Macaca mulatta: one gene and its partners. The protein of the gene in region 1 purifies or fractionates together with the protein of each later gene. This does not show direct contact. Links are inferred from orthologs where the notes say so. Each region holds a gene or a part of one and is shown in the gene's direction. Other genes may lie near its edges.

Region 1 (9,997 bases):
CATATCATGGTTAAGATTGAGCATGGGAGAAATATGGGATGGATTAATTGCAATATTGTATCTCTAGGCTTAGTGTTAAGTAATCTTGAGGTCCTGAATTACCTAACCAAATTGAGCAACCTGAGCATAATTTTTCAGAATTCATTACTGTTTTCCTTATTTTACTCTGGTTTCTTATCTTAGGTAGATTTTGGGGGTGAACGGTTCTTTACTTAGAAGCAACAGTTATATACCTTCCATAGAACCTGTCTATGAATATGGGATAAAACGTAGATTATCTAAAAGGTAGGATACTGTAACTTACATTTTTAAATGGAGATTCATTTTTATTTTGGTTCGGATTGGTTTAAAAATATTTGCTAAGGTAACAGGAATGGACGGGTTTAGGTATTTTTTCCCCTAAACCATCGGGCAGGAGAAGGTTTAGATTTTGACATATGAGAACATAGCTTTAGCAATTTGTTTTGTGTCTTAAGCCTCTAAAGGTTTTGTGATGTGGCTTTTGGCTTCTTAGCAGTTTTGCCTGTGTAAATTCCTAAGTACTTGTGTCTCCCGCTTTGTGCAGGATTTATCCTACTACTGTTGTTTGGAGTTGAAAGGCAAAGAGGAAGAAATACTAAAGGCACTTTCTGGAATGTGTAGCATAGACACAGGTAAACTTGTTTTAAAGCTGAGTTCTATTTTAGTCTTTATATATTTATTCCTTTCATAAAGAAGTGTCTACTGTAAGCATTTTGGAATTCAAACATATAGAAAAATGTGTGAGACACTAATCATTCCTGATGAAAATATTAATTTAAGAACAGTTGGGTTGGCTTTTAAATCATTTCTAACATTGTCAAGTTTTACACTTGACAATGTGATAGAGTCATTTTTCTGGTGGGGTGAACTTGACAGAAAGAAACTTGAAGCTCTCATTATTCATTTAACACATATTTGTTGAGAACTTACTGTGTGCCAGGCTTTGATCTGAGCAATCCTCACAACCAAAACTTCACCTCTCATGGAGGCAGACAGTGAATGACAGTGTGGCTATCAGGAAATAGGACTGCAGTCTCAATACCTGGAATTATGGAATTTTGCTTTTGTTGATGTCAGGACTGACGTTTGCAGCAGTTCACTGCTTGTCTGGAAAGCGCCAAGGGAGCCTTGTGCTTTATCGGGTGAATAAATATCCCAGAGAAATGCTTGGGCCTGTTACGTTTATCTGGAAGTCCCAGAGGACCCCTGGTGACACTTCTGAGAGCAGGCAGCTGTGGATCTGGCTGCATCCAACCCTTAAACAGGTATAATCTTTCAGGTTAGCTCCTATTATTCTGAAACTGCATTTTTAATTACAGCTGGAAGTCAATACTGTAGAAATGTACATAGTGTAAAGATTTGTCTGATAGTCTGATATTTGTATATGGGAGGCTCTGTGAATATTGAATGAAGTGAATTTTTAAAAAACTTATAAAATTTGTGTTTAAAAATGTCTAGTTGACAAAAAGCAAATATATTCGCAGTATATAATATGATGATTTGATGTACATGTTGTGTACCACAATCAAATAACACATCCATCACCACCCATGCTGTACGTTAGATCCCCAGAACTTGTTCTTCAAGTAGAATGAAGTGAGGGTGGGGCATGGTTTCTCATGCCTGTAATCCCCCCACTTTGGGAGGCTGAAGCAATTGGATCGCTTGAATCCAAGAGTTTGAGAGTAGGTTGGGTAACATGGTGAAACCCCGTCTCTGCAAAAAAGACAAAAATTAGCTGGGATTGGTGGCATGCGCCTGTAGTCTCAGCTACTTGGGAGGCTGAGGCAGGAGGATCACTTTGAGCCCAGGAGGCAGAGTTGCAGTGAGGTGAAATCGTGCTATTGCGCTCCAGCCTGGGTGACAGTGAGACCCTGTCTTGAAAAAAAAAAAAAAATGAAACTAATCCTGACCTCTCATATTTTTAGTAAGTCATAAGTAGAAGTAGAGATAAAAACCAGCCTTATGCTAATTATTTGAAATGTTGAATTGGAACTAATGTTTCTACCATGACTGAAGTGGTTCACTAGTATCTAGGTGCTAATTGGAGCCTATTTGATAATGAAAAGCTATTTCTGAGTACTTCTGATGATTTTTCACACTGAATTCAGCTTAGCTTCCCTTCTTTAGCATACTCACTACTTAAAAAAAATTTAGTCAGAGTGATCATGTTGTTTTCATAATATTTGACTAACCCTACCCCTAACCCCAGCCCTAACCCATTTTAAATTTTAAATTTCATTTTTTTTTTGTTTAAAGTGACATGCACTACTCAGAACACCCCAAAACGCTTTTTTAAAAAATTAAAATTAGGTTAAAATATATATATATTTTTTGAGACAGGGTTTTGCTCTGTCACTGAGACTTGAGTGCAGTGGTGCAGTCATAGCCCACTGCAGCCTCTACTTCCTGGGCTCAAGTGATCCTCCTACCTCAGCCTCCTGAGTAGCTTAGACTACAGGGGTATGCCACTGTGTCCACCTAAATATTTTTTTATTTTGTGTAGAAACAAGGTCTCCCTATGTTGTCCAGGGTGGTCTCAAACTCCTGGGCGGAAGCCATCCTCCCGCCTCAGCTTCCCAAAGTGCTGGGATTACAGACGTGAGCCACCACACCTGGTCCAAAAAAGCTTTCTGGTGATTAATTTAAGTTAATCTGTGAAGGGATAAAAATGTGAATTTTTTTTTTGAGATGGAGTCTCGCTCTGTTGCTCAGGCTGGATTGCGATGGCATGATCTCAGCTCACTGCAACCTCTGCCTCCCAGGCTCAAGCGATTCTCCTTCCTCAGCCTCCTGAGTAGCAGAGATTACAGGTGCCTGCCACCACACCCAACTAGTTTTTGTACTTTTTAGTAGAGGTGGAGTTTTGCCATGTTGGTCAGGCTGGTCTCAAACTCCTGACCTCGGGCGATCTACCCACCTCGGCCTCCCAAAGTGCTGGGATTACAGGTATGAGCCACCATGCCCGGCCAAAAATGTTAATTTTTAAAGCGATAAAAAAAAAAAACAAAACATAACCCAACTAAATTTGTCATAATATATTTAAATTTCAGGATTTTAAAGTGAATATTTAAATATATTTTTAGGATATCTTAGAGGAAATAAAAGCAGCGTGCCAGTGCGTGGAACCTGTCAAATCAACTGTCTGCATCACTGACCCACTTCTGACACAATCCCAAGAAAAAAGCCAAACTGAATTGCCTGATGAGAAAATTGGCAAGAAAAGAAAAAGGAAAGATGATGGAGAAAATGCTAAACCAATTAAAAAAATTATCGGCGATGGAACTAGAGATCCATGTCTACCATACGCTTGGATCTCTCCAACCACAGGCATTGTAATCAGGTATGAGTTGAATTTACTTTGAACCTACTGAATATTTTCAGTGAAAACTTGCTCTGTTTTTGTCAGTGGCACAGATGTTGTGTGATGGAAGTTTCCATTTTAAGATCTTCTTTCTTTTTCAGCGATTTGACGATGGAGATGAACAGATTCCGGCTGATTGGGCCACTTTCCCACTCCATCCTAACTGAAGCAATAAAAGCTGCTTCTGTCCACACTGTAAGAGTAAAAGTGATGGTAGTGTTTTATTCTAATTATGTTTTTCCTGTCAAATTTGTGAAACCTAATATATAATTTGGTAACATTTTGGGCCATGGCTTTTAGATGTTTATTTCCCTACTTATTATCAAAGATTTTGTTATCTTTCACTTCTCCTAGAAGACCACAACTAAGTGGATATGATCAGTAAACTGACTGTTCTTATTTAAATATAGACTGCTCTGGTAGCTATGAGCCTTGTAGAGGGTCTTAACTTCGGCTTCATAGGTAGGGAGTCTCTAAAATCCCTGAAATTGTGTGCCAGATTTTGTGCATTTGTGCTTGTGCCACGTAGGTTTTCTTTCTTTTTTTTTTTTTTTCCCCAAGATGGAGTCACGTTCCGTCGCCCAGGCTGGAGTGCAATGGTGCAATCTTAGCTCACTGCACCCTCTGCCTCCCGGGTTCAAGCGCTTTTCTTGCCTCAGCCTCCCGAGTAGCTGAGACTATAGGTGCGCACCACCAGGCCCAGCTAATTTTTGTATTTTTAGTAGAGACAGTGTTTCACCATGTTGACCAGGCTGGTCTTGAACTCCTAACCTCAGGTGATCCACCCACTGTGGCCTCCCAAAATGCTGGGATTACAGATGTGAGCCACCACACCCGGCTGGTTTTCTGGGGCTAGTTTTAGGACTCTAGAATCCCTAAAAAGGTTAAGAGCACTATGTCTAGGGCAGAACTTCCAGTAGAGCTTTCTGTGAGGATGATGTTCCTTTGTGCTGTCCAGTACGATAGCCGTTAGCCACATGTGGCAGCTGAATACTTGAATTGTGGCTGGAGTGACTGAGGGACTGAATTTATACCTTTACTTAACTTTAATTAACTAAAAATTAAGTCTGAGTAGCTCTATTGGCAAGTGGCTAGCATAGAGACTAGATTAGGAATCCGTACCCTAGGTTCAGGTCCAGTTTGTTTTCTGGTCTTAGTGCAATTAACTTTTCAATGCCTGTGCCTCTCACTGACTTGACATGGTCAAATATGATGATAGAGCTGAATAGATTCTGAGTTTTTAGAAGTTTTTAAAATACAAAAGCTACTTTTCTCCATCTTCACTGCCTCTGCTCTACTCTCAACCAGTGTTGTCTCTTACCTGAACACTTAGGGGATCAGGAAAGGATTCTAGAGGGAACCTTAAGTTTCCTCCATTCCTCCTCTTTTTCAGCCCATTCTCCACACAGGAGGCAGAGTGATTTTTTGATAATTTATTCACCTCTTGTTGCTTCCTGATAAAAAGTTTTTGAATAGCTTCTCATTATAATTAAGATAAAATCCAAAGTGCTCAATGTGACCCACGTAATCTTGTGCCTTCTTGCCTCTGAGGCCTCATTTCTTCTCACCTTCTACACTTCAGCCACCCTGACCTTCTTTCAGGTTCTAGAATGTCAGTTCTTGTCTCCCTTAGAGCTTTTGCACCTGTTTTTTTCTTCCAACTACTGAGCATTCTGCCTCCACCACTCTTTGCTTGGCTGAACCATCCTCATTCTTCAGGTTTCAGTCTCTAACATTTCCCTCTAGTATCCTTTCCTGATCCCCCAAGTTAAACTACATCCCTCCTGTTGTTTTCAGAGCATCTTGCAAATTTCCTCAATTTGTATGTATGGATTTGTGTATTTATGTAATGTCTGTGTCTCTCACGAGACTGTGAGCTTCATAAGGGTGAGGATAGGGTTGGTCCTGTTTTTTACTCCCTCCCCAGTGCTTAGCACAATGCCTGGCACAGAGAGGGTGCCCCGTAGTAGCTAATAAGTTGTGGAGCAAAGATTTGAACCTACGAAGTTTGGTTCCAGAGCCTGTACTATAAACCACTAAGCTGTGCTACCTGAGTTTCTGTGAGTAAATGGTACCTTTGCTTTTGCTTTTTTTTTTTTTTTTGTGAGACAGAGTCTCGCTGTGTCACCCAGGCTGGCGTGCAGTGGCACAATCTCAGCTCACTACAACCTCCACCTCTTAGGTTCAAGCAGTTCTCATACCTCAGCCTCCTGAGTAGCTGGGATTACAGGCGCCAGCCAACACACCTGGCTAATTTTTTGTGTATTTTTAGTAGAGGTTTCGCCATATTGGCCAGGCTGGTCTCCAACTCCTGGCCTCAAGTGATCCGCCTGCCTCGGCCACCCAAAATGCTGTCATTACAGGCGTGAGCCACTGCACCCGGCCATGATTGCTTCTTTAGGATCTGTAAGTGCACATCCTACTTCAATGAACTTCAGCATGAGTTGTGGCTATAGATTCCCTTCTTGCCATGCACATGATACTTGAAGAGCTTTTTGAAATCTTCCTCAATTCCTAGTTCCATGTGGAAAAGATAAACATTTCTAGGAATACTGTAGTAGTAGTATATCCTTTATCTGGAGAGTTCTTCAAGAGGTACTGGTTTGATTTTCCTTCGGTGAGGAACATTTTATTGCTTACATTGGAGATGATGAAGTTAGCTCTAGTGGAAGAGGACCAGGCGCGGTGGCTCACACCTGAAATCCCAGCTCATTGGAAGGCTGAGGTGGGTTGATTGCTTGAGCCCAGAAATTCAAGACCAGCCTGGGCACCATAGTGAGACAATGTATCTACAAAAAATAAGTTTAAAAAATTAGCTGGACATGGTGGCGTGTGACTGTAGTTCCAGCTCCCAGCCACTTGAGAGGCTGAAGTGGGAGGATCACTTGAGCCTGGGAGATTGAGGCTGCAGTGAACCGTGGTCGGGCCACTGCACTCCAGACTGGGTGACAGAGTGAGACTGTGTCAAAAAAATAAAAAAAGGTAAGAGAGGAGCGAGGCCTCCTTTGTTGGTACTGTGCTCTGGAGAGACTGGGTGTGAAGTATCTTAGTGAGTTAGTCTATGAAAGCCATAGATGATTTTCCTCATGTGAAATCTTGAGAGAAGTGTAATACTATATCCTTGCTGCTAACTGAAAGAGTAGTCTGGTATCAACTACTATGTTAAGTATAGTGGCAGCTTCCCTGGTTCACCCCATAACACATTCATTTCCACACACAGAAGAAGAAAGAGTGGGGGCTGATATCACAACCATGACAAAATTATGAGGGTGGATTCATTGTTCGCCCGGTGAATAGCGGTTGTTGTTTTTCAGGTGGGAGAGGACACAGAGGAGACACCTCACCGCTGGTGGATAGAAACCTGTAAGAATCCTGACAGCGTTTCCCTTCATTGCAGACAAGAAGCCATTTTCGAGTTGTTGGGAGGTATACAAAGGGAAGACCGGGTTGTGTTGGGGAGGGAAGGGGGCTAAAAGAGCCTTTTGCAGTTGGGCCTCCAACGTGTAGTATTGCTTTTTAACCTGCTGCTATTGTGACACAGCAAGAGGACCAAGTAAGAGAGGGACTGAACTCAGTGAATAAACACTATATTCATGCCTGGTCATGAAACAACAAACAAATGAGATGTTCATATTCTAAGTAACTGGCATTCTGATAGTGGAGATAAATGCATACGCCAGGTACTGACCTAAACTCTGTACTTACCTGCACACAACTGTGTTTTTGCTCATAGCTGCTATAGTTATCACTGATAGAAGCATATGTGTTCATTTCATAAAAGAACCTTTTTTTTATGTTGGCTTCATGTTTTTTTGTGAGAAACCTCATTCTTTATGAATGTTAACTTATTCTCTAAAAGTATCAATGGGAAGAGAGGGAATACATGCTTTTAAGTAATTAGTCCAAGAAAAATGTTTCATTGGAAAATCTGAAAGATTTAAAAATACAAACAAATATAGATGTATTATGAATGACCTTCTGTAAGCTTCTTTTGGTTGTTTTTGTTCTTTTTGTTGTTGTTAAAGGAATAACATCACCAGCAGAAATTCCGGCAGGTACTATTCTGGGACTGACAGTTGGGGATCCTCGAATAAATTTGCCCCAAAAGAAGTCCAAAGCTTTGCCCAATCCAGAAAAATGCCAAGGTAAAGTTCTAAAAACACCCCAGGTTTTCCTTACGATTTTGAGCAGGCCAGTCTTATTAGAAGAGTTCTGTCTCTGACACATCTCCAGTAACTTCATCTGTAAAAAATTAGGGCAGTCTCCTTACCTGCCCACTTTACAAACTGATTATGATCTGAGGAAATGGTACATGTGGAAGTGTCTTTTAGCTGTAAAACATGTAGCCTGATACTTATGTTCATTTTATTTTCCGAGTTCTCTTTTTTTAGTATCTAGTAAAACCTGTCTCTCTGCAAACTACGTTCTCTGAAAATGTCTGGTGTTTCAGAATTTTAATTGTGAGGAAGGGATCTGCACCCGAAGCTGGTCTTGTGCTCAGTGGAAGCCTCTGTCTGACCATACAGATGATCCAGGTTCGAATCCTGGCAAGGCCATCCCAGGTGCTGAAATATAAGATGTTTTGCTTTAGACTAAGTAGAATGGCCTGAGAAAGTTGTTTGGCTGGGGTGGCATAGGAGGTGGGTAAGGGGCTGGCTAAAATTTTGTTCTGATCTGAGATTGGCGGAAATTTTGATAGTGTCTCATTGTATTTACTGTCATTTAAACATGATCAGTTGGAGGAATAATTAAAATTACCATGGCAATCTTTGGAGGTAAAGTACAGGTTTGTGTTGTAACGACTTCAGAATTTTTTTTTTTGAGATGGAGTCTTGCTCTTGTCACCCAGGCTGGAGTGCAATGGCGTGATCACTTCTACCTCTGCGTCTCAGGTTCAAGCGATTCTCCTGCCTCAGCCTCCCGAGTAGCTGGGATTACAGGCGTCCACCACAACGCCTGGCTAATTTTTTTTTGTATTTTTCGTAGAGATGGGGATTCACCAAGTTAGCCAGGCTGATCTCAAACTCCTGACCTCAGGTGATCCACCCAGTTCAGCCTCCCAAAGTGCTGGGATTACAGGCATGAGCCACCACGCCCGACCCAGAATTTTTTAAAAATGTAGTTAGATAGCTTATTGAGGGGGCAATAAATTACTCTGTCAGAACTTCACATAAAAGGTGGATTGGATGAGAGAGGAGTTTGAAGATACATAGGTAAGTTAGTTAATTATGAAGCCTAAGACTTCACTCAGTGAGTCATTGCCTCTTTCTTTTCTTTTCTTTTTTAATATCGATGTGGTCTGGTGCAACGTAAAAGTTGCAGCATTTACTACACCATTAAATGTTGACTGTTATAATCACCTTAAAGCTATAAACTCTACTTAGTTTCTCTTGCTACCTCAAATCCTTTTTTGGAATGAGGTGATTATTAAATCCTCTCTAAGGCTTTTGTTTTAATATGAATCAGCTCAAGGAAAATTAAAAGTCTATCTTGAAAAACGTGATTTAATTTGACTCCTGAAGTCAAGCAATCCTTCTGCCTCGGCCTCCCAAAGTGCTGGGATTACAGGTGTGAGCCACCATTCCCAGCTAGAGAGCTTTTAAAAGGGAGGGTACATGAAGAACCTGAAGTGATAATGAATATTCTTAGATGCTTTGGAAAAGTTTGCTTGATCAGCTGGTTCTAGAATTTGAATTAAATCTTAATAATGTGTTTCTGCAAATCTTTTCAACTTTATTAACACAACATTTCACTATATAAGTAACTGGTTTTCTAGGTGAGATTTAAAAATATAATTTCTGCTGTACTAGCTGTTATTTTATTTGCGATCTTTAGTATTTGCCATTTTGCTTTGATGGATTATTTTAATTAGTTCTTACCTGTGAGAGATCAATTTCCTTTAGGAAATACTGAATTTACATCGTGCTCGTGGGCTTATCATCTTTCCCTTTGAACACTCTTTGGACTTTCCCGTACTACCCAAAACATGGAAGGAGAACAGCTGCCTTTGGCGTGATAGGCTGCAGGTCGTCCTTTATATTTTAGAGCTCTTGCAAGCACTTTGAGAGCACTGACCTGCAGTGGACTTGAGCAGTGCCCAGTTAGCAGTCATTTCTCCGCTTCCCCTGGGCCCTTTGAACTGTTTTGCATATTTTATTTAAAATAGTTTAATCTGAAGGCTATAACTTTGTTTTTATTTGATTTCCAAATGAGAAAGCCTTTTACTGGTTACCTTTGCTTCTCTGAGTAAAACTCATTAAAAGAAAGTTTAATGTAACATTTGGTGATTTTTAAACACGTTTAAGAAAGAAGAAAGCCAGCACCTGTAAGTCACATTCTGGAGTTAATATAATCAATTCAAGAACTTTTGTCTGTGAAAGAAAACATGCTTTATATGAGTCTGGGGGAAGGACTCAGAATTACATTCACAAGTGGCAGTCATTCTAGGCACACTGATGTGGGTACTGATTCTAGGGTACTGATGTGAGTCTCAGCTGGGGGTATTGTTTTTCTCTTCCCAGTAAAGACTATTGACCTAAAAGGGCCTTCCCCTTAGCCTTCAGACATACTCCACTTTGTTGTAAATAGACTTTATTTTTTAATGCAGCTTTA
Region 2 (10,646 bases), on another chromosome or scaffold:
CCCGCCTCAGCTTCCCAAACTGCTGGGATTACAGGCGTGAGCCACCACGCCTGGCCTTCCCTGCTTTTTTTCTGTAGCACTTTGAATCATCTGACAACTTATATCATTTACGTTCTTTGTTTACCCTTTCTCCTCCTTTGGAACTCTGGCTCACCGCTTTATCCTCAACACTAGCAATTCAATGAATATCGTACCTATGGGAAAAGAAGAGGGGTGGGGAAGGGAGGAAGGGGATAGAAAGGAAGGATTAAAGGTCTTTCGAATTTCCCTATTTTCATAAGACAGCACTGCCAAGACCCCTGATAACCTTGGACATCCCCACATAGCCACATAGCCAAGGCCTGACTGCAGTCTACCCTGAGTCCTGGACAAATGCCTGGATTTCCCTGGCAGCAAGGTTTCCTTTTTTTTTTTTTTTTTTTTTTTTGATTGAGTGAGGAGACTTTATTGATGGCACACGACAAGGTGGGGCTCCCTAGGTGTCTCCCTCTTCACGCGGTCTGCATGGAAACTGCGAGGAGGGGAGATTCTCCGTGTGGTGGGGCCTGAGTGGCACACGGACTCTCCAGCAGTGAGGGCCTCTCTCTTCCTCTCGTGCTCTCACTGGGTCTGGTGGTCCAGGGGTCTTACTCCTTGGAGGCCATATGAGCTCTACCACCCTGTTACTGTAGCCAAACTCATCGTCCTATCAGGAAATGTGTTTGACAAAGTGGTCATCGAGGGCAATGCCAGCTCCAGCATCGAAGGTGAAAGAGTGGGTGTCGCTGTTGAAGTTGGAGGAGATGACCTGGTGCTCGGTGTAGCCCCGGATGCCCTTGAGGGGCCCTCCAAAGCCTGCTTCACCACCTTCCTGATGTCATCCTATTTGGCAGATTTTTCCAGATGGCAGGTCAGGTCCATGACTGACACGCTGGCAGTAGGGACACAGAAGGCCATGCCAGGGAGCTTCCGGTTCAGCTCAAGGATGACCTTGCCCACAGGGCTTACCTATCTTATAGAAGAGTCTGACAGGGGTGTTTCTCATCTATGTCTCTAGTTTAGTTGAGACTAGGGCTTTCCATCTTCTCCTTTCTCTGCACCCCCTACAAGTTGCTTCACTTTAGGACAGAGCCACAGGTTTCTGTGTAAGTCTGGAACTGCTTGCTGAAGTTTACAGTTTGTTCCTTGACAGAGTGACCTACCACTCATAACACCTGTCATCCGACCTCTGAGACTGGCAATGCTGTCCCATGGGATTAGAGATGCAGGGAGCTGACATCATGTTGGTCTTGATTTTGCTGTTTTGTGAGGCCTGAGAATTGCTTAACTGCTTGAAACTCCTCACCTTCACCTTGTCTCTGTGGACATAGATATTCCTTGGAGTACTATACAGTCCCAATTAATAGAGCTTTCAATACTCATTTTGCAGCTCATCATTAAAATTCATGCTTAGTAACTGATGTAAAATAACGAATTGTTTACCTAACAACTATTGTTATACATGATACCACACACACACACACACACACACACACACACAGAGAGAGAGAGAGAGAGAGAGAGAGAGAGAGAGAGAGAGAGAGAGAGAGAGAGAGAGCGCGCACTAAGGTCAGAATACCATGGAGGAAAAGAAGAATAGAAGAATCTGGTGGTCAATTCCCTTACATTCTTCTGTTGACAAATTTTCTTGTTGGGACCTTCACTTATTTCATCAAAAGATGGTGGCTAATTATATAATTTATTACTCAGAAGCTTTTTATGTATTTATTTGTTTTGGAGACAGGGTCTCACCATGTTGCCCAGGCTGGAGTGCAATGATGTGATCATAGCTCACGGTAGCCTCCACTTTCTACGCTCAAGCAATCCTCCAGCCTCAGCCCCAGGAGTAGCTGGGACTACAGGCACACACCATGCCTTTTTTTTTTTTTTTTTTTTTTTTTTTAGATACGGGGTTTTGTCATGTTGCCTAGGCTGGTCTTGAACTCCTGGGCTCAAGCAATCCTCCTGCCTCAGCCTCCCAAAATGCTGGGATTACAGGTGTGAGCCACCACAGCCGGCCATCACTCAGAATCTTAAGTCATTGTCAAACAATGGAAAGCATACAAATCAAACAGTAGTCCAATTCTAGAATATAAAAAGAAAGCTCTAATATTCAAAGACCAAACAGATTTTACAGGACTGTCATTACTGTCATTAAAAAGTAAAACTGGCCAGTTGTGGTGGTGCGTATCTGTAATACCAGCACTCTGGGAGGCCGAGGTGGGAGCATTACTTGAGCCCAGGAGTCTAAGACCAGCCTGGGCAACATGGTGAGACCCCATCTCTACAAAAAGTACAAAAATTAGCCAGGCTTGGTGGCATGCTCCTGTAGTCCCAGCTACTCGGGAGGCTGAGGTGGGAGGATCACTTGTGCTTGGGAGGAGGTTGCAGTGAGCTGAGATGGTACCATTTAGCCTGGGCAACAGAGCAAGATCCTGTCTCAAAAATAAACAAAACAAAACTGATTCTTCAGAATAGGATATCAAATATGTAAAGTAATAATTTGAGAAACATGAAAAAGTGTTATGTGTGAAGAAAATCAGAAGATTGAATCTGTATTATTTTAATGTAAAAGCACGCACATATGTGAAACAAAGTAGAAGGGAACACTAAAGAAAAAATGGGTGTGATTGGGTCATGGGAGCATGTTTGTTACTTTTTGGTTGTAATGTCTGTGTGATACAAGAGGGAGAGAAATTACTTTCAAAATGTACTTGTTAATTTTAGCAAAATCCTTGTAGAAATTAAACTGCTAGTTTTAAAATAAAACACAAGCACTAAAATAATAGAGGTTATGTTTCATTTTTATTAACTTAGTTTTGCCATGGTTGAGACTGGATTCACCACAGTTCAATTTATCAAGCACTTAACTATGTGTTCCGCACATAATAATCATCTTAGCATAGAGGATCATCTCTTCTAATCCTCACAAGAGATACTATTTTTATCACTTCATAGAGGAGGTTAATAAACTTGACTAGGTCATAAGATCTTCAGTTGAAGTTAGGATTTCAACCCAGAGCCAAGTAATGTAATGGCTGATGTTTTCCATAGAGAAAATGTAAGCTGAGATGATGCTCAAACTATAAATCTGGAACCTTAGGGGGACAAAAACGTATGGATGTCTCCTTCCTATTACTTTAGCATTTTAATTAGACCCGTGTGTCTCTATTTGTTTTTGGACATGCAAGCTGCTTGCAGTTCATCATAGCGAATTCACACAATTCATTTGATGAAACACAAACCTGTTCTTACAAACTCACTGTCATCTCTTTTTAATCTTACTAATTCCGATAAAAATCACATTGCACTTTACCCTGTGTCACCTCCAATGATCTCTGACCGAAAGCCAAATCTTCTTTGTGTGTTTGCTTTATGGACAGTTAGGTTCTACACAGGTACTTAAACATGAAAATTGAAATCATAGAGGCTGGGCACCGTGGTTCAAGCCTGTAATCCCAGCACTTTGGAAGGCCGAGGCAGGCGGATCACCTGAGGTCAGGATTTCGAGACCAGCCTGACTAACATGGTGAAACACTGTCTCTACTAAAAATACAAAAATTAGCTGGGCTGGTGGCCTGTGCCTGTAATCCCAGCTACTCAGGAGGCTGAGGCAGGAGAATCGCTTGAACCCGTGAGGCGGTGGTTGGAGTGAGCCAGAATCACGCTATTGCACTCCAGCCTGGGACACGAGGGCGAAACTGTCTCAAAAAAATAATAATAATAAAGCACAGAAACTATACCAGAAAATAGGAAACAAAACGAACAGTGAAGAGAGTGAGAAAAGGAGGCAGATATATAGAAGAGGAAAAGGAAGGGGGCCCAAGTGAGGCCGGAAAAACCGGGGAGGAGGAGGTGGCTCATTAGGTCAGAAGCAACCTGCCGTCTTCTAAGTTCTGGCCAAGGGTAGATCAACGGATCCAGAATCCTGAGTTTTAAAATGTTATTAGGCTGCTTCATCACTTGTCCCTGACGTTGCAGCGACTCCGATGGTAACTTTAGTCTCCATTGCTTGGAGCAGCCACAGTGTACACCGGACAGGATATTCCGCGCAGCTGTTGCTGAACTCAAGGCAACTCCTATCGCCTTTCTCTTTTCGGAGCTCAAGATTCCTTGCATTATTGCCCATAGGCATGTGTTTTACCCCACACTCCTTCTCCCTTTTATCTTGATTTTCGTGGTGCTGGGGAGTCTGCAGGGATTCCATGGCGACGGGTTCACTGGGACAGGGGCTGGGGTTGTGCGTCCCTGAGGCAAAGCAAATACAGAAAAGGGAATAGAGATAGAGGGCTAAGACTCCCAGGCACTGAAAGGTAGAAACTGGGTTATAAGAGAGAGGGGAGCACAGACGCCCGGAGAGAGCCTGCCCTCGGGATACCACTGGCGGTAGGCTGGCCTCCGAACAACTAGAAGGTCCAAGCCCTGAGCGTCTGGTTACCCGGGCAACTTTATGGTCTCGCGATACAGACCTCGCGCCTGCGCACTGCCGTTGTAGGGGGCCCAGTCCGGAGCCTCCACCCCGGGGCCTAAACTCGAATCTAAAAGATGGGGCCTCGTTGTGTTGTTTCCGGGCCGCGCGACGCTGTGGGCTGCTTTCCCCTTTCCGGAGTGACCTAACACAGGATAACGAAACCTGCAGTGCTCCTAGCGCTTCCGCTCCGCCCCGTCGCGTCTGGGAGGCGAAGCCGGGAGGCGAGCGCTCTGCGCATGCGCGGCGCAGGCGCACTTGGAGCCGGTGCTGCAACCCTCAGGTAAAGGCGGATCCGCCACCGTGAGTTCCAGGTGGGCGCGCGCGGGGCCCACGTAGGGCAGGAGGCCAGCCCCGGGGGGATCGGGCCCGGGACTCCACGGAATCTGGAGGCCGAAGCCCGCGCGCACGCAAGGCCTCCGCTGCTTCCCCGACGCCTCTTGCGTGGCCGCGGAACTCGCCGCCCTCTCGGTTGGGCTACCCAGTCCCGGGCCAGTCGTGTGCACCCAGAGCTTCCGCGCCTCTCCTCGGGCTCCTCTGCTGGATTGCAGCGCCGTCTGGGCACCAGGAGTGCAAAGCGAAAACCGCACGCCGGCCGTTCTGTTCTCCACGGTCTCCAAGGAGACACGGACCGATCCAGGGGCGGCGTGCAGTGGGGAGGTGAGCTTTGGGTCGGCCGTCGCCCCTCGGCTACCGGCGGGATCCAGAAACCGGAAGTCACCACCGATACCCTTCTCACCTTTACTCCCAGCTGGTCACTACTGTGTCGGGAGATTCTACCTTCTTTTCCGACTAACATGTATTTCTCTCCAGTCCTTTCTGCGGTGTCTCTAGTGTAGGCCACCGCCATTTCTAACCTGGACGACTCCGGGGGCGTGTTTGCTGCTCAAGGATTCTTCCTTTGCCCAGATCCACAAAGATCTATAACGTCTTTCTAATCATGACGCCTCTGCTTTAGACGTTAAAGTTGCTTCACACTGGAAGGCTTGCAAAGGTCTTCATTATCTGGTCCTTACCCACCTTTCCTAGTTTCTCACTGCTTTCTCTAGCATCTCTTTCCCAGCCACATTGAACTTATTGGAACTTGCTTGCTTTTTTTTTTTTTTTTTTTTTTTTTTTTTGAGACATAGCAGTCGCCCAGGCTGGAGTGCAGTGGCGCGATCCTGGCCCACTGCAACCTCCTCCTGCCGGGTTCAAGCGATTCTTCTGCCTCAGCCTCCCGAGTAGCTGGGACTACAGGCGCGCGCCACAACGCCCGGCTGTTTTTCGTATTTTTAGTAGAGACGGGTTACCATGTTGGTCAGGCTGGTCTCGATCTCCTGGCCTTAAGTGATCCGCCCGCCTGGGCCTCCCAAAGTGCTGGGATTACAGGCGTGAGCCACCTTGCCAGCCAACTTCTTTCTTTTAATGCTGAGATACCTTTCTTTACTCCATACTCCCTTTGGTTGGCATTGTTTAGATGTAGGTTGAGAGGTCCGGCCGGGCTCCTCTTAGTCCCAGACTAAGTGCTCACGCCTGTAGTCCCAGCACTTTGGGAGGCCGAGGTGGTTGGATCACAAGGTCAGGAGATCGAGACCATCCTAGCCAACATGATGAAACCCCATCTCCACTAAAAAAAAAATAAGAAAATTAGCCGGACATGGTGACGCGCGCCTGTACTGTAGTCCCAGCTACTCGGGAGGCTGAGGCAGGAGAATCGCTTGAACCCGGGAGGCAGGCGGAGGATGCAGTAAGCCGATATTGTGCCACTGCACTTCAGCCTGGCGACAGAATGAGACTCCGTCTCAAAAGGGGGGGAAAAAAAAAGCAGTTCCTCTATGAGGACTGCCTTTTCCTACCCCCTCAACTAAGCTAGGCCTCTGCTGGATATTCCCTAAGCATCCTGTAGTTCCCTGACCTTCATGTGCATCAGGCTTTATTGTATAATTACCTGCTGATATTTTTTCCTTGTGGACTGTAACCTCACTGAGGTCTGCGACAAAAAAAATACTTATGGCCTGGCACATCCTGGATAATCCAGAAAGGTGGTGCCTGTGGCTGAGGGTGGGAGTGGTATTCCAGGCAGAGGGACTAATGTATATAGACTTGAAGGTGGGAAAATGCTGGCCTCATTAAATAGTATGTGGTTCGGTGTTGAGGTCTTGTGCTTGGTGGGGCCTAAGGAGAAAGAGGCTGGTGGGAGATTGAGACTGGAGGTTGGAGGGCCTTTTATGTCACATTAGAGTTTGGGTGGGGCATGATAGCTCATGCCTGCAGCCCAGCACTTTGGGAGGCCGAGGCTGGGGGATTGCCTGAGCCTACGAGTTGAAAACCAGCCTGGGCAACAAAGCAAGACCCTGTCTCTACGGAGTTGTTTTTTTTGTTTGTTTTTTTTTTGTTTTTGTTTTTTTGAGACAGAGTCTTACCCCGTTGCCCAGGCTGGAGTGCCGTGGTGCGATTTCGGCTCACTGCAGCCTCTGCCTCCTGGGTTCAAGCGATTCTCATACCTCAGCCACCCAAGTAGCTGGGATTACAGTTGCGCATCACCACACCTGGCTAATTTTTGTATTTTTAGTTTAGACTGGGTTTCACCGTATTTGCCAGGCTGGTCTCGAACGCCTGACCTAAAGTGATCCATCCAGCTTGGCCTCTCAAAGTGCTGGGATTACAGGCGTGAGCCACCGTGCCCAGCCTATACAGAAAATTTAAAAATTAAAAAACTTTTCTGGGCTTGGTGGTGTGCGCCTATAATCCCAGCTACTTAGCAGGAGGCTGAGGTGGGAGGATCGCTTGAACCCAAGAGTTCAAGGCTGCAGTGAGCCATGATCAAACGACTGCATTACAGCCAGGTGACAGGGCAAGACTGTCTAGAAAAAAGTGTTTGCCCTTGATCTATAGGCAGCAGAGGACTCTTGAGACACAGCTCTAAAAGGACCTCAGCAAAGCCTTATTTTTCTCCCTTTCTCTAAAGCTATAAAATCTTACCAGTCAGTATTTTGTTTCTGGATTATATTGCATGAGATTATGCTTATCCAAACTACTTGGCTCTCTTTATCTCCCTAGCAGATTCTGCAGGCGGGAGAAGTTTATAGCCTGTTTTGTGATCCCTCCGGAGCATGGTTTTAAGTATTTACTCTGTGGTGTTTGGATGCGGAGACATGATCTGACTTGCAGTTGCCAAGAGCTCTGTTCCATCCTATTTGTTTCACCCCTCTGTCACTTATTTCCCTCTTCCTGACCACTCTGAACCTGATGCCAGCCCCTCGCAGTCACCGCATTGCATCTGGATGAGCCACTTTTCTTCCTGATTCCCTGAGCTCTGGGGAGCACAAAGATAATGGGGTCAGGGGGCAGTGTGGCCACTGTGAAGGAAGCAGCTTAGGCCCCAGAAGTCTCCAGCAGTGGGCAGTACCGAGACGACCAGGGTGTGATCTCTCACCCCAAGGAGCTGAATTTGGGTTTTCTGTGGGAAGGTGTCTGGGAAGAGTATCAGAGACCAATAGCGCTCAGGGGGCCCTTCCTCGGGGCTGTCCAGCATGGAAGCACCCCGTCCTACACCAGTGGTTCCTGATTGCGGTTCTGAATCAGATTCACGGGGGCATTTATTTACTTATTTATTTTGATATGGAGTCTTACTGTCGCCCAGGCTGGAGTGCAGTGGCGCGATCTCAGCCCACTGCAACCTCTGCCTCCTGGGTTCAAGAAATTCTGCCTCAACCTCCCGAGTAGCTGGGATTACTGGCAGGCACCACTATGCCTGGCTAATTTTTTTGTATTTTTTAGTAGAGATGGGATTTCAACATACTGGCCAGGCTGGTCTCAAACTCCTGACCTTGTGATCCACCTGCCTCGGGCTCCCAAAATGCTTTGGTTACTGGCATGAGCCACTGCACCCGGCCTAGGGCAGCTTTTTATAAGCACAGATGCCCAGGTCTTATTCCTGAAGATTCCAATTCAGTAGATCTGGGTTGAGGACCAACCATCTGCCTGTTTTAAGAAGCCACAGGTTATTTTTGAGGTGTAGCAAGGATTGAAAGAACAGAAAACTTGGAATTTGGAAAACTAGTTGTGACTCCGGGCAGTGAGTCAGTTTCCTAATGCACACATTGGGGAATTCTATAGGAATGCTGTGAGAAGCAAATAATCCATGGAGAGAGTGCTTTATACAGCGATACACTACTGAGGCACACTTGCCTTCAACATCAGCTACCAGCCTAGTAAATGGAAGTATAAATGGAAAGGACATAACTTCCTTTAGTTTTGCCAGGTGGGTCCCTGTGATTCTAACTGAGCCCCAGGAAGGAAGGGAAGAAAATAGGGAAGAGAAAGGAATGTGTATTTGCCTCTGGGAAGGATAAACAGGATATGCCCTCTGGACCAGTAGTTTATAATATTTTCCCCATTAAGCATCCTTCTCATTTTTCCTCAATGGATTAATATCTTTAAATTTCATTACATTTCCCTAGTCTTCATGAAATTGCCAGCCAGAAAAGTCGGCTCGGGGCCCCCCTAAAAAGGAGGAATGGCCGGGAGTGGTGGCTCACACCTGTAATGCCAGCACTCTGGGAGGCTGAGGTGGGTAGATCTCCTGAGGTCAGGAGTTCGAGACCAGCCTGACCAACATAGTGAAATCCCGTCTCTACTAAAATTACAAAAAGTAGCCAGGCATGGTGTTGGGCGCCTGTAATCCCAGCTACTCTGGAGGCTGTGGCAGGAGAATCAATTGAACCTGAGAGGCAGAGGTTGCAATAAGCCGAGATCGTGCCACTGTACTACAGCCTGGGCAACGAAAGCGAAACTGTCTCAAAACACAAAAAAAGAAAGGGGAGTGTATGCCTGCATACATATCAAGTGCTGTAGGAAGGATATTCAAGAAATTTAGGGCCCTGGGAGGTGGGGAGACTTACAAAAATGGACATGACAGAATTATTTGAAGTCTTAATCATGAGATGACTGTTCAGTTCTTTAAAATACCACACCTGATTGGTTTTGAATGGCAGAGGCCACCAGAGTCCTTGCAGATTGTGCGCTCTGCGTGGGTGGACATTGTTTACCGTGAGCCCCAGGACCTAGAACGCCACTTGCACACTGGAGGTGCTCAGATCTTTTTTTTTTTTTTTTTTTTTTTTTTGCAGATAGAGTCAGATGTGTTACTGGGCACCGCACGATCACGTTCACTGCAGCCTTGACCTCCTGGGCTCGAGTGATCCTCCCACCTCAGTCTCCCAAGTAGCTGGGACTACAGGTATGCCTCACACTTAGCTAATGTACGTATTTTTTTTTTTTTATAGAGGGTTTCTCCATGTTGCTCAGAGTGGTCTCGAACTCATGGGCTGAAGTGACCTGTCCACCGCAGCCTCCCAAAATTCTGAGACTGAAGGCATGAGCCACTGTGCCAGGCCTAGAGTATTTGTTGAATGAATGAATGGAAGCCCAACTAGACGGCATTTGGAAAACAGTAACAAGTTATAAGATTAATACCATACAGTCACTAAAAGGTTAATTATGAACAAGTAGAAACAGCATATTTTTAATAAATGAAATAGACGAACGGAATTGTACTACGATTGCAATAATGAAAACTTTCACATATTGCTTGTATAGGAATAAAGAAAAAGTCAAAAAAATGGGGAAAATTAAACCCTGGTCATCCATTGTCCTGAGTTTTTTTTAAAGGGCCCCAGTGGAGCATTTAAAATGGGGTAAGAAAAATGGGGAGAAATAAAATTACTTAATCTTTAAAAAGAAGACAAGTGTATGCTCACCTAATTGGACTTATATAATGAGGCTTGCTCTAGCTTATCAAGAATCAGAATACAGGCTGGGCGCAGTGGCTCATGGCTGTAATCCCAGCACTTTGGGAGGCCGAGGCGTGTGGATCACCTGAGATCAGGAGTTTGAGACCAGCTGGGCAACATGGTGAAACCCCGTCTCTACTAAAAAAATAGAAAAATTAGCTGGGCTTGGTGGCGGGTGCCTATAATCCCAGATACTCGGGAGGCTGAGGCAGGAGAATCATTTGAACCCAGGAGGTGGAGGTTGCAATGAGCCGAGATTGTGCCATTGCACTCCAGCCTGGGCAACAAAAGTGAAATTCTGTCCCAAAAAAAAAAAAGAGAGAGAGAGTACAACCAAGATACTCTTAAGTTATGCAATTGTCACTAACATGAATTTTTTCTGT
Region 3 (9,202 bases), on another chromosome or scaffold:
GATTACAGGTGTGAGCCACTGCACCTGGCCAAATGTTTGCTGTTTTAAGTTGCTGAGCTGTGGGGTAATTTTTATGCAGAACAGATCACCAACACATCTTTCCCACTGTGGAAACACCCTCATCTCCCAAAGCTAACCCCTTTGGGCAGTGTGAGTCATTTAAAAGTTTATTTTTCTCTTATATTCAGCTGAGATAGTAAAGGGAGTCAGAATTCTCGTTTCAAACATCTGTGGTTGCTGCTTTCTAGCTGTGGTACATAGAGCAACTGAGACCTCTCTGGGTCTCAGTTTCACATCTGTCAAACAATGATGATGCCTTCCTGGAAAGGAAGACTGTAGAGATTGAACACATCTGACCCAATGCTGGGCACTCGGTGGGTGCCTGCTAAATCTGAGTTCCCTCTGGCCCTGCTAACTTTCTGATTCCTGACTCTACTCGAAAGCTTCCAAGTCCCTGCCCAAAGAGGCTGGGACTAGGATCACAGTTTTAAGAGCACCTCGCTGGGCGCGGTGGCTCATGCCTGTAATCCCAGCACTTTGGGAGGCCGAGACAGGCGGATCACGACATCAGGAGATCGAGACCAACCTGGCTAACACAGTGAAACCCCATCTCTACTAAAAATACAAAAATTAGCCAGGCGTGGTGGCGGGCACCTGTAGTCCCAGCTACTCGGGAGGCTGTGGCAGGAGAATGGGTGAACCTGGGAGGCGGAGCTTGCAGTGAGTGGAGATCCTGCCACTGCACTCCAGCCTGGGCAACAGAGCCAGACTCCATCACCAAAAAAAAAAAAAAAAAAAAGAGCTCCTCATCCTCCTCCTGCAACAGGAGACAGAGGAGAGGGGCTGTACCAGGGATCCCCCTTCAGTGTGAACATGAGAGATTTGTCCACAGGAAGTAGGGTGTGCTGCTGGAAAGGTCCCAGGGAACCTTAACAGAGATGTATTGGCTAGGCTTGGGCTCTAGTCTAGCTACACCAACACCTCCTCCCAGGGTGAAAGGAGTCTAGTTTGCCACTCACCAGGTCACTGTGAGTGAAAACAGCTATTATTTCTGAGGCTTTCCCAATTTCTTTTCCTTTTCACCAGTTTTCTTTCCCCAATCCCTTTAAATTTTTTTAAAATTTATTTTAATCACAAATAATATATGAAAAATAGTAACAGCTAACATTCCCCAAGAACTTAGCAGCCAAGGTTCCAAGGTGGCTGTCTCATAATCACTCTGTGAGGTAGATTACTATAATTAGCCCCATTTTACAGATGACAAAGCCAAGGCAAATGGGTTAAGTAAATTGTCCCAGGTCACACAGAGGCAGAAAGAAGCTAATAGAAAATGAAGCTTCAGGGTCAGTAGCTCATTTATACAAGCTGCTACAAGACTCTGTATTTAACTTTGTATTCATATTTAATAGTTCTTTTCTTAAAGAAGGTAATGAAAACTTAATGCGGTAACAAGAGGTCAGTGTGCTGTTTTCTTGCAGATATTTTAAAAATACATTTACATCTATAAACACACACGGAAATAAATGCTCCCCTACTGTGTGTATGGCTGGCACCCAGCTCCTTTAACACAACATCTTGACTGATTCCACTTTTCTAACCATTGTGTGGTGTGCACCACTGATGCTCTACTTTATTTACCAGCCTTTCTGAAGTTGAGCCCTCTGCTCCCCTCCTCTGACTCTGGCCGCTCACTGGGGTTCCCACCCTCTTCACAGCTTTTTCTCCCTTCGCCATGTCCCCTACGCTGTTTCCCCCCTCATACAGCCCCTTTGCCTGTGTCCTCACTACTTCATGCCCCAATTCCTTCCTGCCTCCCGCGTTTCTCCTCTCTCCTGGCCACCCCGCCCAGTCCTTCACCGCCCACCCTGTTTCCCCCGCTCGCTGCCCGCTCTCTCCCACTCCAGCTTCCTCCGGGCCTGCTACATTACCCTAATTCACAGCACCCCATCCTTCCGCCCTCACTCCCCTCATCTCCCGCCCCCACCCTCCGCACCCCTCCGCGGCCAGGAGGGAGCGCACAGCCGGCGGGCTGCGACGCGCGCTGACAGTGTAATGAATGGCTTCAGCTGTAATTAGCGACCCCGCGGCTAATCACGATGTACATTTACATTTTAAGTGCTGCAGAGGGAGCGGGGGAAGAGGAGGGGACCGGCAGGAGGGGATGCGGGCCTTTTCGGCGTTCTCCCTTCACCGACTGTGGAGAGCAGTGAATGCGAGTGTTCTACAGCAGTTTAGGAGGGTGGGGGCGGTGGGGTCATAGAGGGCCAACCTGGCCGGACGCAGAACCGCCCTGTCCTCGCCCTACACAAACCCGAAGCTCCCAGGACTCTTCCTCCAAATGACAGAACTCCGCCTAATCCCTTCCAAGTGATCTTGCTGCCCAAGCTTGCATAGCCCCGGGGACGGAGAGCTCTCTTCTTCCACAACCAGCCCGTTCCAACGTTACTTCCAGCCTTTCGGGGACTTTTTCTCAGGGCCTGACCTTACACAGCCCTCGGCTCTCCACGCCCCGCTACGCGCTGCGGACAGTCTTTGTATCTTCCCAAGGCTGCTGTGCCTCTAGCCCCCACCGCTGTGTGGGGCCCACGGAGACTGGAGCGAGACCGAAGTCCTGGTTCGGAGCATACCCCGAGGGTTCCTGATTCCACCAGGAGACGGGGTCAGCCATTCACACACTGGGGTGCCAAGGTCCAGGCGCCGCAGCCACTCCCAAGAAGTGGTAAGGGGGTAAACCCCGGTTCTGAACAGCAGGGACTGAGAGCTGCTGCTGATGCCCAGGAGGTGAGAACAGCGGGAGGAGACAGAATATAGTCTGGCAGCCTCATCTCCAACTGAGGCCCAGCAATCCTAGGCACCGTCATGCCCCCAGCACTTTTCCGGTTGCCTGCCAGCCCCAGCTCTCTGTGTCCCTCCCCGCCACGCCCCGTCACAGTCCCCTGGCTGGGACCAGATCTGCCGACCTCCCTCAGTCCTGACTGCGTGGGGCCGGTGGAAGGAGGACAGGCGAGGCCCGAGGGCAGTTTTAGGGAGGGTAGGGCCCCTTCTCAGACCCCCTCCCTTCCATCAGTAGTCCTGACAGCCCCAATCTCATCTTTCTCTAATGCTTCTCTCACCCGGCAGGAGACCCCGGGCCTCTCCTTCGGTCCCGAGGAGTTTCCAAAGAGAGGCATCCAGTAGCTCTATAATGCCCCCAGGGCTTCAACTCCCCATCTTCCTCCCTTCTTTCTCTCTTTTATTTTTTTAAAGTCTTTCTTTTTCATTTTTGTGGGTACATAATAGGTGTCTATATTTAGAGGGTACATGAGATGTTTTGATACAGGCATGCAATGCATAATAATCACATCATGGAGAATGGGCTTTCCCTCCCTTCTCTTTCTTTTTTATTTAATTAATTAATTTTTTTTTTTTTTTGAGACATAGTTTTACTCTGTCACCCTGGGTGAAGTGCAGTGGCGTGATCTCGGCTCACTGCAGCCTTCAGCTCCCGGGTTCAAGCGCTTCTCCTGCCTCAGCTTCCTGAGCAGCTGGGATTACAGGCGCGCACCACCACACCCAGCTGATTTTTGTATGTTTAATGGAGACGGGTTTTCACCATGTTGGCCAGGCTGGTCTCGAACTCCTGACCTCAAGTAATCCGCCCGCCTCGGCCTCTCAAAGTGCTGAGATTACAGGTGTGAGACACCGAGCCCGGCCCCTCCCTTCTCTTTCTTAAAACCTGCGTTCACCCAGCCTCCGTTCGAAAAAAGACCCACTGGATCTCAAGGGGCCAAGGTTGCCTGATCGAATTTCGCCTGGGAGGAAAGGGGCGGCCACGTTGGCATGGCATCGTGCCTGGCTCACCCTAAAGCGCGCAGCCCTAAGGGTGGGCTCTCGGGCATAGGTGGAGCGAGCCTACCGCCTTTTCAGAAGAGGTCTCGCCCGCTTCCTCACGCGCCTCGGGGAACAGCTTGGCCCAAAGCCTCACTCCTCACGTCCCAGGGGTGGACGGGGGTCCGGGAGCCTCGAGCTCTAGACAGGCGTGGCGAGGCTGAAGCCTGGGTCTCCCGCGCCCCGCGAGGACCACGCCGCGACGTAGTCGCCCGAGGGGAGGCGCGGAGTGGAGCCGCAGCCAGCTCCTCCCGCACTCTGCTGACCGCGCACTAGCTGTCCTTGAGGCAAGAATACTTGGGAGCGGAAAAAAGGTGGGGGTGTTCCCCAGCGGGGAGAGGAGGGGCGAGGCCCCAGCAAGCCTCTCGGAAATTTCTCCCTGGGAGGGGACGAGGGGCGGCCTTCAACTGCAACGGGGAAGGGCTAGGATACCGGGTTTGAATTGGTGTTTGCACCGCAAGCGCAGCTTTTATTTAGGCTGCCGGTTTGTGAGGGTTGGCTCGGAGAGCGCTGATGGCGATTGTCGTGGAACTTCACCTTCACCTGCCCATGCGCCCCGCAGCGCGCCCGCTCCCACGCCCGCTCCCACGCCCGCGTAGCTGAGGACCCGGACTTGCCACGAAAGGCTGGTGAGGCTGGGGCCCGGGCGGGCCGGGCCGGGCCGGGCCGGGTCAGGGGAGGGGCCTGGCGGCAGGGGCGGGGCCTCAGCTAAAGGCGCGGAGCACCGGGCGCCGAGAGCGCGGAGTAGAGCGGCGCCCGCTCGAGAGAAGTGGGGCCGAGATCGCGCCGTCCCAACCCGCCCGCCGGCGTCCGAGCTGCTTCCGCGCCCTTACCCCTGCGGGCCCTTGCAGGGCGAGACCGGCGGCCATGCAGCCCCGGGGTTGAGGCCGCCCCATGGCAAAGCCGGCGGTCCCGGCGACGACGGCGCATGGAGAACTTCCGTAAGGTGCGCTCCGAAGAGGCGCCAGCGGGGGGCGGGGCCGAGGGGGGCGGCCCGGGCTCTGGCCCCTTCGCAGACCTGGCGCCGGGCGCGGTGCACATGCGGGTCAAGGAAGGCAGCAAGATCCGGAACCTGATGGCCTTCGCCACCGCCAGCATGGCGCAGCCAGCCACGCGCGCCATCGTCTTCAGCGGCTGCGGCCGGGCCACCACCAAAACCGTCACGTGCGCCGAGATCCTCAAGCGCCGCCTGGCGGGCCTGCACCAGGTCACGCGGCTGCGCTACCGGAGCGTGCGCGAGGTGTGGCAGAGCCTCCCGCCTGGGCCCACGCAGGGTCAGACGCCTGGCGAGCCGGTCGCTAGTCTCAGCGTACTTAAGAACGTGCCCAGCCTCGCCATCCTACTTTCCAAGGACGCGCTGGATCCGCGACAGCCCGGCTACCAGCCCCCGAACCCCGATCCTGGTCCGTCGTCCCCGCCAGCCGCGCCAACGTCCAAGAGGAGCCTAGGGGAACCCGCAGCTGGAGAAGGCTCCGCGAAGCGATCGCAACCCGAGCCAGGGGCTGCGGACGAGGATCGGACGGCCTAAAACTCCGGACTGTGGGCGGGATCTTCCGCCAGCGCCTCCACCCTCAAATGCACCTCCAGCCTTTCACTCCTCGGTCCTCCGGAACCCACAACCTGGACACAGCTCCTCAAGGCAGGTAGCATGGACCTTAAGGCGACAAGAGAGGGGCCCCAGAAGTGGCAGGAGAGGATCCCCGACGACCTTAGGGAAACTTCGTGCGATGATTGCTGCTTATGCCCGTGTTGCCTGAAGACACGGAACTTCACCTTCACCTTTTCTGGGACCTTCTTTGGGGGAGAATGGTGGACAGTGGGATTCTGGAAACTTGATTGGGACCCCCAAGGGTTAAAGCCACCCAGCATTCACGAAGGGCACCTGGAGTGCGGAAGCCGAGAAGAGTTATTGGAATCACCCCCACCGTTGACAGAGAAGGCAGGGGGTGAGACTTGACTGCTTGAGGGTAGGAGAGTCTGAGATGTGGGGGTCCTATTCCACTCCCCGCCCTGGGACAGTTTTCCTTTCTAGTTTTCCTTCCCCTGCTTCAGAGGAGCATCTCTGAGGGTTCTAGCTCTTTTAACACCCCTTTTCCCCCTGCTGGCCCAGAGGGAGACCCAGGACTGAACTCTCCAGGCCTCCTCCCCCAGCCCTGCAACTGGAGTCTTGCTTCCAATAAAACAAGCACAAAAATGGCTCTGTCCCCAAATTTTTTTCTAACCACCCGCCTGTGCAGAGACAGCTCTGGCCTGGCCCTTTGTGTCTCCCCTCCCCTCCAGCCTTGCGTCCTGATCCTTTGGAGTCTTCAGGGTCAGGCATAGAGACTGGACAGCTTCAAAATGGTGCAAGGCACTTCCCAGTCCCTGGCTTTTTCCTCTCTCCTCCCCCACTCTGCCCTCCCGGGCTGGCCCTGGCTTCAGGGGCTGTGGCCCATGGGGGGCCCATGCTCCCCTGTACATCACCACTAAGGGAAAGGGAGTGGCACATTGCTTTTCTGGGAGGGAAAGGAAGGAGTGGAAGGAGAGCATGGATGAACTCTCCTGGAGGTCACTGCAAAGGGTGGCAGACCCTGCTGAGGTCCCTGAACCTGCAGCCTCCAGACAATAAACTGAACCTTACCCAGAAGGCTGGCACAAAGCCCCCAGCTCCGTGAGTAGGATCTCCCCTTCGCTGCCCTCTCTCTGAGAAAGGACAGCACACCCTTGGGAAAAGGGGAGGAGAGAGACTGAGCGCAAATCCACTGCTGGAAATTACTATTCAGCAGAGAAGCTGGGACTTGGGCTGTGAATCACTGCAGGCCTCCTGATAAGCTGCTGCCTCCAGCCCTGCACAGCTGTCTGTTGAGAGATAACAGCCTCATAAGCTTCTCTGCCCAACTCTAAGCCAGCTGGGGGGTGGGGGTGGTGCTGTGTGCTGGAAGAGCTCTGGTGAGTTGGGGGTGGGATACAGCCCCAGGATCTCAGAAGTAGATCTCATCCCATGCAACTCAGCAGCACCCCTGGAAAGGGGGAGATGCGGAAGAATGTATTTATAAGTCATTTTGCTGGCAGAACCCTGAAATAAATCCTGCTGGTGACAAGAGATACGTTCTGTGGCTGACTGGAGGGGCTCTTTAGGGAGGTTTCCCTCTCCTGCAGTTATCTCTGCTTGAGCTTTGGATCAGTGAGCTTTGTCATCCAGACTTTTTCCCTCGTTGCTCTCCCCAAATTCCTGCTCTTGATGAGTCCCTGGAGAGGGCCAAGGGGTTTGGTTGTGCTTGTCTGACCCTCTCAGGGGTGGCCCAGGAAGCATGGAAAGAATGTAAACTGTCCTGACAAGATGCCCTAGCTTCTCCTGGACTTCAGCATCTAAAGGCAGTGATAAAACTTGGACAAGGTCCTGCATGGTAGAAGCTTAAGGGAGACTGGTCTTGGTTCTAAAAAGGGGCCAACTTTCCAAGACCACTAGTGACTGATTGCTGGGTTACCAGGACTATGAAAGCAGTGCCTGAGGCCGGGCGTGGTGGTTCATGCCTGTAATCCTGTAATCCCAGCACTTTGGGAGGCCAAGGCGGGTGAATCATGAGGTCAGGAGTTTGAGACCAACCTGGCCAACATGGTGAAACCCCATCTCTACTCTAAATACAAAAAATTAGCCAGGCGTGGTGGTGGACACCTAATCCCAGCTATTCAGGAGGCTAAGGCAGGAGAATCACTTGAACCGGGGGGTGGAGGTTGCAGTGAGCCGAGATGGCCCCACTGCACTCCAGCCTGGGCGACAGTGCAAGACTCCGTCTCGAAAAAAAAAAAGAAAGCAGGGCCTGCTAGTCTTGTTACGGAGATAAGGCTGCAATGGATTTCTTTTTTTATTTTTATTTTTTGTTGAGACAGAGTCTCACTCTGTCCCGCGGGCTGGAGTGCAGTAGCTCAATCTCTGCTCACTATAAGCTCTGCCTCCCAGGTTCAAGTGATTCTCCTGCCTCAGCCTCCCGAGTAGCTGGGATTACAGGCATGCACCACCACACTCAGCTAATTTTTGTATTTTTAGTAGAGACGGGGTCTCACCATGTTGGCCAGGCTGGTCTCAAACACCTGACCTCTGGTGATCCACCCACCTAGTGCTGGGATTACAGGTGTGAGCCACCATGCCCAGCCTTTTTATTTATTTATTTATTTATTTATTTAATATTTTTTTTATTTTTTGAGAAGGAATCTCGCTCTGTCACCAGGCTGGAGTGCAGTGGTGCAATCTCAGCTCTCCTGGGTTTAAGCGATTCTCCTGCTTCAGCCTCCGGAGTAGCTGGAATTACAGGTGTGGACTACCATGCCCGGCTAATTTTTTTATTAGTAGAGATGGGGATTCACCATGTTGGCCAGGCTGGTCTCGAACTCCTGAACTCAGGTGATCCACCCGCCTCAGCCTCCCAACGTGCTGGGATTACAAGCGTGAGTCACTGCACCCGACCTCTTTTTATTTTTTTATTTTATTTTGAGACAGTCTCACTCTGTCGCCCAGGCTGGAGTACAGTGGCACAATCTTGGCTCACTGCCAACTCTGCCTCCCAGGTTCAAATAATCCTCCTGCCTTAGCCTCCTGAATAGCTGGGATTACAGGTGTGGGCAACCATGAGCAGCTAATTTTTGTATTTTTATTAGAGACGGGGTTTCACCATGTTGGCCAGGCTGGTCTTGAACTTCTGGCCTCAAGTGATCCACCTGCCTCAGCCTCCCAAAGTGCTGGGATTACAGGGGTGAGCCACCACCCCCAGCCTGCAGCGTATTTCTCTTGATGAGACGGAAAAGTTCCCTTCCAGCCCAGAAACCTATCCTGGGGGATAGAGAAGAGAGGAACATGTTTATCCAGCATCAAAGCATTAATCTTCCCCCAAGCAGGTAACGAAACACTTTCTTTTCTGCACCCCCGTGACACCCCAGCAAGTTTGGTTCCGAAGCTTTCAGTAGGTGCGCTGTAGGTCCGAAGCTTTGGTTCCAAAAGTAGGTGCGCTGACTCACCAATGGGACCCAGCATGTATGAGCACCCCATCTCTGCCCTGCTGATTTCTGGCCCCACTGACCTACGAGCAGGCTCCAAAAGAAGGTGACAGATGTTCCTCTACCAGCTCCAAACCACCAAGGCTGAAGTGGGAACCTCAGAAGTCCTGGGATAAAGGGAGGGGCGGCTAGGGGAGCACCTCAGAGACAAGGCCCACTTCAAGAGCCAACTAGTGGCAGAGTGGGAGAGCCCCTCTTGTGAGACCCCATTTTTCCAATAGTGGTCTCTACCCAGGAACTTCCGGGACCCAGCCTGGTGCTTGCCTTGGCCCTGCCTTAGGACACTTCCAGACTAGGAGTGGCA

What was found. Proteins that work in one complex are often made in the same cells at the same time.
Region 2: the proteins of POP1 (region 1) and RPP38 purify together in Homo sapiens (affinity purification with mass spectrometry; 3 studies listed by BioGRID and IntAct, with this or other methods). This does not show direct contact. The link is inferred for Macaca mulatta from reciprocal best matches to the Homo sapiens genes POP1 and RPP38.
Region 3: the proteins of POP1 (region 1) and RPP25 purify together in Homo sapiens (affinity purification with mass spectrometry; 3 studies listed by BioGRID and IntAct, counting the BioPlex papers as one, with this or other methods). This does not show direct contact. The link is inferred for Macaca mulatta from reciprocal best matches to the Homo sapiens genes POP1 and RPP25.

The regions. Positions count from the first base shown.
Region 1 is NC_133413.1:108,510,803-108,520,799, forward strand, and holds part of POP1 (ribonucleases P/MRP protein subunit POP1), read left to right. Parts: intron 1-565; coding exon 566-653; intron 654-1,098; coding exon 1,099-1,286; intron 1,287-3,107; coding exon 3,108-3,364; intron 3,365-3,486; coding exon 3,487-3,580; intron 3,581-6,699; coding exon 6,700-6,811; intron 6,812-7,410; coding exon 7,411-7,530; intron 7,531-9,997. UniProt on the Homo sapiens protein: Component of ribonuclease P, a ribonucleoprotein complex that generates mature tRNA molecules by cleaving their 5'-ends. Also a component of the MRP ribonuclease complex, which cleaves pre-rRNA sequences.
Region 2 is NC_133414.1:16,668,310-16,678,955, forward strand, and holds the start of RPP38 (ribonuclease P protein subunit p38), read left to right. Parts: upstream 1-4,734; 5' UTR 4,735-4,800; exon of another isoform or gene 4,801-5,146; intron 5,147-9,600; exon of another isoform or gene 9,601-9,710; intron 9,711-9,964; exon of another isoform or gene 9,965-10,646. UniProt on the Homo sapiens protein: Component of ribonuclease P, a ribonucleoprotein complex that generates mature tRNA molecules by cleaving their 5'-ends. Also a component of the MRP ribonuclease complex, which cleaves pre-rRNA sequences.
Region 3 is NC_133412.1:52,904,736-52,913,937, reverse strand, and holds RPP25 (ribonuclease P protein subunit p25), read left to right. Parts: upstream 1-4,725; 5' UTR 4,726-4,795; coding exon 4,796-5,395; 3' UTR 5,396-5,590; downstream 5,591-9,202. UniProt on the Homo sapiens protein: Component of ribonuclease P, a ribonucleoprotein complex that generates mature tRNA molecules by cleaving their 5'-ends. Also a component of the MRP ribonuclease complex, which cleaves pre-rRNA sequences.